2 linked regions of the Caenorhabditis elegans genome follow. The protein of the gene in region 1 purifies or fractionates together with the protein of each later gene. This does not show direct contact. Each region holds a gene or a part of one and is shown in the gene's direction. Other genes may lie near its edges. The genes, in order: flp-18 and mrps-28.

Evidence for each region.
Region 2: the proteins of flp-18 (region 1) and mrps-28 fractionate together in Caenorhabditis elegans (co-fractionation; one large-scale study listed by BioGRID). This does not show direct contact.

Annotation. Positions count from the first base shown.
Region 1 is NC_003284.9:3,011,618-3,016,200, reverse strand, and holds flp-18 (SVPGVLRF-amide 3), read left to right. Parts: upstream 1-1,914; 5' UTR 1,915-1,922; coding exon 1,923-1,998; intron 1,999-3,040; coding exon 3,041-3,133; intron 3,134-3,182; coding exon 3,183-3,332; intron 3,333-3,380; coding exon 3,381-3,434; intron 3,435-3,480; coding exon 3,481-3,643; intron 3,644-3,693; coding exon 3,694-3,784; 3' UTR 3,785-3,787; intron 3,788-3,836; 3' UTR 3,837-4,011; downstream 4,012-4,583. UniProt on the Caenorhabditis elegans protein: FMRFamide-like neuropeptides. Ligand to G-protein coupled receptor npr-1. Involved in modulating locomotion quiescence during the sleep-like state called lethargus which occurs during molting between larval and adult stages, acting via npr-1.
Region 2 is NC_003283.11:19,642,114-19,646,264, forward strand, and holds mrps-28 (Mitochondrial Ribosomal Protein, Small), read left to right. Parts: upstream 1-2,125; coding exon 2,126-2,257; intron 2,258-2,307; coding exon 2,308-2,474; intron 2,475-3,220; coding exon 3,221-3,440; 3' UTR 3,441-3,563; downstream 3,564-4,151. Other genes in the region: Y43F8C.7 (ER membrane protein complex subunit 10), read right to left, coding at 1-24, 1,491-1,578, 1,657-1,762, 1,823-1,916; Y43F8C.9 (MS Related Protein), read left to right, coding at 4,004-4,123.

The DNA of each region.
Region 1 (4,583 bases):
ACAAATTTCTGCGTCGTTTCACGTTTACTTTTCTCAATTTTTTAAAACCAAAATTTAACTGCAAACTTCTGCATTGTTCTAAAAACTCACAGGTTATCTCAAAAAGATAAATTTCAAAGTGAGATTTTTTTAAAAAAATTCCGGACTGTTTTTTGATTTTGATGTTTTTAATGAATTTTTAAAATTCTTTATTAGTGCCTGAAATTAACAATAATTTTAAAGTTTGTCACACTGCGAATAAATTAATCTCACATTTCGTATGTTTAGAAAGATGCATGAAACTCCGTCGTTCTTATGAAGTTAATTAAGACATGGCTAATTGAAAGCCCACATGGTCATGAAAAAGTAAAACTTACAACTTTTTACTGAATATTAACCAGTCTCTATAAATATCCCAGCTTAGCCGGAATAGGGTCACGAAAACATGAAAATAAAGCTTGAACCTATTGTTATGATTTTCAATGCCACCTTTTGCAGTTTAATATACACTATTACTACTTCTCAGTTCAAGTTCACTTCTGAGACGGAACCTTTATTTTCTAACTTTCTTTAATCTTACTTTTTATGAGCCGAATGTTCTATTTTGTAAAATGATCAGATACAAGCCCAAAGCTAATTTTGCCAATAAGTGTTAGTAGATCAATTGAATTACAATATAATGACCTGGGCGGAATAGATTTTTGCACTGATTTTTTTCCAAGCTTACTCTATGAATATTCATAGATCATCTTCAAAGGTAGCGTGTGTTGTAGTTGTGTTTTGGCGGGTTCGTGTTATTTGACTCAGCTCAAGTAGATGTTGTAGTCTTCCCTCAATCAACGCGTGGGCTTGACCCTCTTTAAATTGAGTGGAAACCAGCCAATCTATTTGAAATCTACCCCCGAAATGAGATTCGACGATGACACGACGTGTGTGTTACGTGCGCTGAGAATTTAGGAAAAAAAAGATAATCTTCTTTTCGTTAGCTGCGCCACAACCTGTGCAGATAAACTCCGCACAATTGAAGTTCTTACTGGTCCCACCCGATTTATTCAATTGTATTGTGTCTTTTTTTCTTATTTCTCTACAACTCTAACTTTCTTCAACTATTCTCTACATCAGTGCTTTTTTCCACCATGAAAAAAGAAATGACGTCGTTGTTTCTTAGGAGGGGCGGAGCCTCAACTCAATGGTCCGTTCGAATAGATCCCACCCCTCATATAAATAGGACTGAAACCAAAGAAGTTTTTAAATTTTCAGCTTACCGTGTTTCTCAATTTTCAAAATAGTCTTTTTTGTGTCTGAACGGGCTGATCAATTATGTTTTTTTTTGAATGAAAAATCTTCCTCCCAAGCCTTAAAATTCCTTCCAAAGATCGAAAGTTATGTCTATTCAAGTTACTTCTTCTTAGATCAAATATTAAACAAAAAAATACGCCATCATTCTCTCACATTTAGTAATTCAAAATTTCGATTTGTTTTCGAACTTTTGAATTTCCCGCCTAGGAAGTGACATGAGTGAAATCTCATTAGATAAATGTGCCACTCACCGATGACACTATTTTCAAATAAGGGGGGGGGGTGTTTCGAATACCTTGTACACGCGTTTCCGCAAAACCACACACCCCGAGTTCCTCAGCTTCTTCCCCTCGACCCATGAGCCACGTCAAGATGTCAGCGTGTCACTTTTCATTGCTTCACCTTCTACGGTAACGAGAAAAGGCGGGGAATCCAGGATCTGGTGTGACTTCTTCCTTCTTCGTATCTTCCTAAAAATGTTCGTTTACTTTTTAGCGAGTGTCATTTGATGGGATGTCGTTCTTGAGGAAAGAGGCTAGAAGCTTAATACTCTCATATTTCATATTATTGGCATCAAGACGTTTATTATTTAACTACAATAACGATTGCTTTAACAACTAAAAATAATAATTTCAGGGTTAGACATGCAACGGTGGTCGGGCGTTCTTCTCATTTCGCTGTGTTGTTTGCTTCGTGGGGCGCTCGCATATACCGAACCAAGTAAGTTCTTGATGAACGAAACAAAGAAAAGTCTTGGCTGATCCAATCTCTTAATTGGGTTTGAAGGGAGTTTGGATAGCCCCAGATCAGCGTGGAAGATTGAATAAAATGACGGCAATAATTTGTCTTAATGTAATCTTGAATTTTATTTTAAAATTTTTAACTTTGTAGTTTGTCGAAACGTTGGTTTCGCGTACATTAGTTTTTTTTCAAAATTCTGGACCTGACGTAGTTAGCTGAAATAATTTTGCGCGGTGTTCAAACATCGCATCCGTATTGAAACTTCATTAGTTTTTATAAGCTTCTGTGATATTCATTTTCCAGTGAGACCTATGAATAATCTTCGCTGCTTCCCACGGTCCGTGAATCTCTAGACTTGGTGTTATTGTCTTATTGAAAAGTGTTTCCACTGACCTTCAAACTTTCTATAATCTAGAGTGGCCCAATGTATTTTTGGAAGGAAAAACGCTTGGATGAAAACAAGATGTAGCGGGAAAAAAAGGGGGCGCCTATGGATATTGTGGAAAGATAGTGTTGAGTTGGATGCTGAGTTTTTTATTCTTTCTTGTCGGGGCCCGTTGGGACATGTTTCGTTCGATGGTGCTCTGTACCCATCTAGACCAACGCGGGAAGCCAAGTAAAATGACGCTGTCGTTCTGCCAAAGTGATGTATTTCGACGATTTCAATCAACAAGAAACGTGTTTTTTTTCGTTTCTTTTTTCAACAGGGGTGCACAATTGAATTGTGTCGATTTGAAAGCATGAATTTGAAATTTTTGAAAATTCTCGTAAGGTCGATCGAAACACATACATAACTGCAATTAGGAGGAATTTGGACGCTTAGCGTCCGATAGGGGCGCAAACTTTTTTTTCCAAGGGGTAGTTTTTCACGGCGTCCGATAACTTCCGAGTTTGACCACTCACTATACATAATCATATAATTTTATAATGAGTGGCTCAACTCGGAAATTGTCGGACGCCGGACGTCCGATATGGCAGCCCTAAATACAAGACGGCACATTGAAACAACTTATATTTTCAGTCTATGAAATCGTCGAAGAAGACATACCAGCAGAGGATATCGAAGTGACTCGGACCAACGAGAAACAAGACGGTCGGGTATTCTCAAAAAGAGGTACAAAATTCTTCGTACAACTAACCATCAATTTTTTGTCTAATTTCAGACTTTGATGGGGCGATGCCAGGTGTGTTGCGCTTTGGAAAACGTGGAGGTGTTTGGGAAAAAAGAGAAAGCAGTGTGCAGAAAAAAGAAATGCCGGGAGTGCTCCGTTTCGGTAAACGTGCATATTTTGACGAGAAGAAAAGTGTTCCAGGTAAGTAGTTCCTTGTTGGTTTATTGCATACTGAAAATTGACTTTCAGGAGTTCTTCGCTTCGGGAAACGCTCATATTTCGATGAGAAGAAAAGTGTTCCAGGTGGCATCATCATCTATTCTAAATCAAATAACATCTCAGTTTTTAGGCGTTCTTCGTTTCGGAAAACGTGATGTGCCAATGGACAAACGGGAGATCCCAGGAGTGTTGAGATTCGGAAAGAGAGATTACATGGCTGATTCGTTCGACAAGCGCAGTGAAGTGCCCGGAGTTCTCCGTTTCGGAAAACGCGATGTTCCCGGTGTATTGAGGTCCGATCATTTTAAGACTTCATCCAGCTTACCAAGGTTTTTGTTTTCAGATTTGGAAAGCGATCCGACTTGGAAGAGCATTACGCAGGGGTTTTGCTCAAGAAAAGTGTGCCAGGTGTTCTCCGATTCGGACGGAAGTAAATTGTAAGTTTCTAAATAAGATTTTGCCAGTCTGACATGTATCAAGTTTCAGATGAATGTGAATGTAAAATGTGCCAGCGACAATTCGATGATCTCGTTGTTTTTCTTCTTTTCTTCCGAGCGTCTCATTTCAATCACTTAATATTAAGTTTTTGTCTCTTTTCAACAATGATACTAAACGTTGTCAATTCTAGAGCTCCATACGATTAAATGAATCATTTCCTGTTACGTCAAACACAGTTCGTCTAATTTTTGAGTAATGTAGTTGTGTGTCTATCAATTGTTTTCTGAACAATGTTGAAAAGCAGATTTGTTCATGGTTGACGTGTGTTGAAAAGAATAATTACCTCCAACTCTGTGCATTTTAGGAATTGATTCATTGAGCTTTCAAACGATGAAAAAGTATGCTTTGTGTTATGTCAGTTATCAGATTAGATAAGTCTAAACAGAACCCAGTGTGAAATGAGTCTATTCATGAAGCTGCTGAAAATTTGAAGCATGTGTATCAAAATGATTCCAAAAAATTTGAAACGCAGAAAAGTTTTTTGAATTATCAAATAACCAACTTCATGTGCACAGGTAATTTCCGTCCTTAATTCTCTTTCAAGTTTCAGATTTGATTAATTGAATCTGGGATCATGAAGATTTTTTCAAACTGCTTTTCCCAATACACTGATGAATCTAGTACTGTACAATTTTTCTTTCATTTCAGAGAGAGCATCAATATTAAAATTAATTGTAAGCAAGTCAACAAAGTCAACAAGTTTTCTACTTAATTATGGCTTCACTTTTCACTACG
Region 2 (4,151 bases), on another chromosome or scaffold:
TAGGTTGGAGTGGAGAAAGAGGCACTGCAAAAATTAAAAAATTTAATTTTTTTGTCCAAAAAAAAAAATTTTTTTTAGTCCAAAAAAAAATAGAAAAAGCTCCATTTTTAACAAAAACATTGTCTTTTACCAATTTTTACTCAGAAAAAATGAGGAAAATGCCAAAAAATGAAAATTTGGGCATAGCTTCCGCATCTCCGGTGACAAATGTGTGCGATTCGGCAATTCGGGGGAACAAAACCTACGGATTTCTAGATTTTGAGCCACCAATCTACCAATTGCACACATGAGTCACAATTTTTTGGATTGGTTGGAAAAACGTTGGATGAAATTTTTCGAAATATCAAAAAAAAAAAAAATTTTTGAGAATTTTTTTTAGTCCAAAAAAAAAATTTTTTTTTGAAATTTTTAATAGAAAAGGCTCCATTTTTTTAACAAAAACATTGTTTTTCAACAATTTTTACACAAGACGACAACATGAGGAAAATGCTAAAAAATGGAAAATTTGGGCATAGCTTCCGCATCTCCGGTGACAAATGGGTGCGATTCGGCAATTCGGGGGAACTGCCAAATTGCACACATAAGTCACAATTTTCGTTTAAAAGTTTGAAATTTTAAACAAAAAATTTTTTTTGCAAATTTTTTTTTTTGATTTTTTGCATTTTTACGCCAAAAATTCTGGAATAATATGATTTTTTCACGAAAAATATCATGTTTTCCACAATTTTGAGTGAAAATTTGGCATTTTCCGTGAAAAAATTGAATTTTTCGGTGGAAAATTGACTGAAAATTTGAATTTTTAAATTTCCCGCCGAAAATTGACTAAAAATGTGTTCATTTTGTCATTTTGTCAGAAGTTTTTTAGCCAATTTTTGAATTTTTCTGGTTAAAAATTCAAACAAAAATCCCGTAAAAACCTTTAAAAAAAGTGCGAAAAATTGTAAACCACGTGCAAACCACAATCATTAACAGTAACGAGCGTGGGATCAAATGGTTCCACGAAAGTGATTTCCCACGGCGTCGGCTCAATTGCATTGAATGTTACACACAATTGGAATTTGTTGCCGTGGGTGGGAATCGAACCCGGAAGCTGTGGGCGGCAGGCGAGCGCGTTAGCCACTAAGCCACGGGTAGCAACTTGTACGAGGTGAGGGAGGGCGTAGACATGGCTGCGGTGGCCGAGGGGTCGAATTTTTGCGGATTTTAAGGGTTTTCTAATCGGAAAAATCCGGTTTTTTCGTTGATTTAGCATTGGAAAACTGTGAAAATTTTAATTTTCCCGCGGAAAAATGACTGAAAATTCGAATTTTTCGGGAAAAATTGCGATTTTTTTTTTGTTTTCCAGTCAAAATTCCACGGGAAAATCGAAAAACCATAGTTTTTCACGAAATTTACACCAATTTTACTCAATTTTTCAGTTTTAAATTGCATTTTCACTCCAATTCCACCGAAATTCTCGATTTTTTCGCCGAAAAAGTCGAAAAACCGACCGGATCGCTAGTCGTCAGGAAATTCTGTCCGGGTTGTGTGCTCGACCGTGCTCGAACCGAATAAACGCCATTTTGAGCTTCGAAAAGCCTGAAATTATGCTATTTTTCGCATTTTTCACACAAAAAATCGGCTAAAAAAGCGAAGAAAACCGGAAAATCCCCATACTTTTGCCCGAAATTTTGCTCCTGAGCCGGTTTGAAGGTTCCCGTGTAGTTTCCGTCGAATGCGCGGCTCATTTCAATGCTTCCAAGTGGATAGCTATTTGTGAATTCTGAAAAACGAGAGAAAATTTAGTTAAAAATCCGAAAAAATCAAATTTCCAACTACAAACCGTTCAAACTATATTCCAGCGTGATTTTCCACTCGGCAAGTGTGAAAATTGGCAAAATTAACGCAATTATGAGCGAAATCGGCTTGAAAATCATTCTGAAATTGCGAAAATTGAGAAAATTTGAGTTAAATTATCGATTTTTTTCAAATAATGGAAAATGCGATGAGAGGGGTACGGTCGACAAGTACGCAAACACCGTTGCGGACCAGGCATTTAATTATACGACAGTTACTCGTTTATGAGGGATTTTCCCTTAATAAACTGCAAATTTCACCGAAAAAATTGATTTACTGTATTTTTCAGATGCTCCGAAGCTTGCTCAAGTCTCGACAGGTGATTTGCGGGCTCCGAGAGCTCCGAGCTCTCTCCACAAGCCAGGGAAACGAGAGTATCATTGATTTCGTCGACACTGTCACTGAAACCTCGGAAGCGCAGGTTTTTACACGATTTTTGGGGTTAAAAACCGCGAATTTTTCGATTTTCAGAACCAATCGTTCGCCTCTCTGCTGCGAAACTCGAAATTCATGCAACTCGGCGACTTTAACGGGCGCCTCGTCGTCGGAAAAATCGCTCAACGCGTTCAAGAAGACGTCTACATTGATTTTGGACTGAAATTCAACGCTGTTTGCAAAGTTCCGGCGCTGAATTCGGAGTACGTGATGGAAATTGCCGAGAAATTGCGATTTTTGCCAAGAAAAATTGGAATTTAGAGTGAAAAACGTCAAATTTAGCTCAAAAAACGCTAATTTCCCCGGAAAACGCTCGAATTTCGGTGAAAAAGTCTATTTTTCCGGAAAAAAATCAAAAGAAACCTGAATTTTACGGAGAATAAGCGATTTTCTCCGGAAATAACGGGAAAAAAACCCATTTTTCTCCAAAATTCACCAAAAACCGTAAATTTCACGAGAAAAGCCCCGTTTTTTTGCCAGAAACTCCTAATTTTCGCGAAAAATCCACGTTTTCCAGGAAAAATCAAAATAAATCCAAATTTTCAAGGAAAATCCCGATTTTCTCAGCGAAAAACCAAATTTTCTTGAAAAATGATTGATAATTTATGGGAAAACCCTTGATTTCCATGGAAAACAGGCGATTTTTCGCTAAATTAACTAAATTTTTATGAAAATATCGATTTTTCTTTCAAAAAACCATTTTTACCCAAAAAACCCCGATTTTTACCCAAAAACCGTCAAATTTTACCCAAAAAACTCCTATTTTCATCCAAAAAACTCCGATTTTCATCCAAAAAACCCCGATTTTCACCCAAAAAACCCCGATTTTCACCCAAAACACCCCGATTTTCACCCAAAACACCCCGATTTTCACCCAAAAAACCCCGATTTCCCACAAAAATATCCTCAAATTTCCTCAAATTTCTCCAAAAAAATCTATTTCTTCCAGAGCCTACCGCAGCGGAGCCCGTGTGCTCATTCGTCTCATCGACCCGGAGCTCAGCGAACGATTTTTGGGCTCCAAACACGATTTGACACTTCTTGAGGCTGACGCAGTGCTCGTACGTCTTCTATCAAATGTGCCACGTCAGCAGCAGCAACGGCAGAAGCCACGTGGCGCCACGGAAGAAGAAGCTCCAGCGGCTCCAGAAACACCGGCGGCACACTAATTTTTCTAGAAAATTTCACATTTTCACTTTCCACGTGTACTTTTTTTTATCAATTTTAGCCTAGAAATCCCCCATTAATTGTTGCCTGTTTTTTGTTGTTTTTTCAATAAAATATGGATAATATTGAATTTCCCGCCAAAAAATGACTGGAAATTTGAATTTTTGAATTTCCCGCCAAAAATTGACTGAAAATTTGAATTTCCCGCCTAGAACTGACTTTTCGCAAATTTCAGGTGAAAGGAAATTCGAATATCCCAAAAAGTAATCATTGGGGCGCGTTTGCAGTTAAAACTTGTATGATTTTCTGTAGAGCGCGCTTTTTCAAGCGCGAACTTCAAATTTTTACGTTCGATTTCTACATTTTTGTTCATTGAACATAGAAATTAATTGATTTACAGAAAAATAGAAAAAATTATTTTCCGACGTGAAATTTTCAAAAATAGTTTCAATTTCAAATTCTCAAATATATTAAAATTCCAAAACGTGGCCCATATCGTGGAATATTATATAAATATCATCCAACTCTCCAGTTTCAATCAGTTCGAGTTTTCTAAACTTCAACAATGATCCTGGTGCACATTTTCGTCTTCCTTCTCGTTGTTCTTTGTACAGCTGCACAGGAGAAACCACCGACTGCAATTACACCACGATCCCAAGATGAAATCGAAAAAGAGTTTGAGTTGGTGAGTGACTAAAGGCGGCTAATTTTTC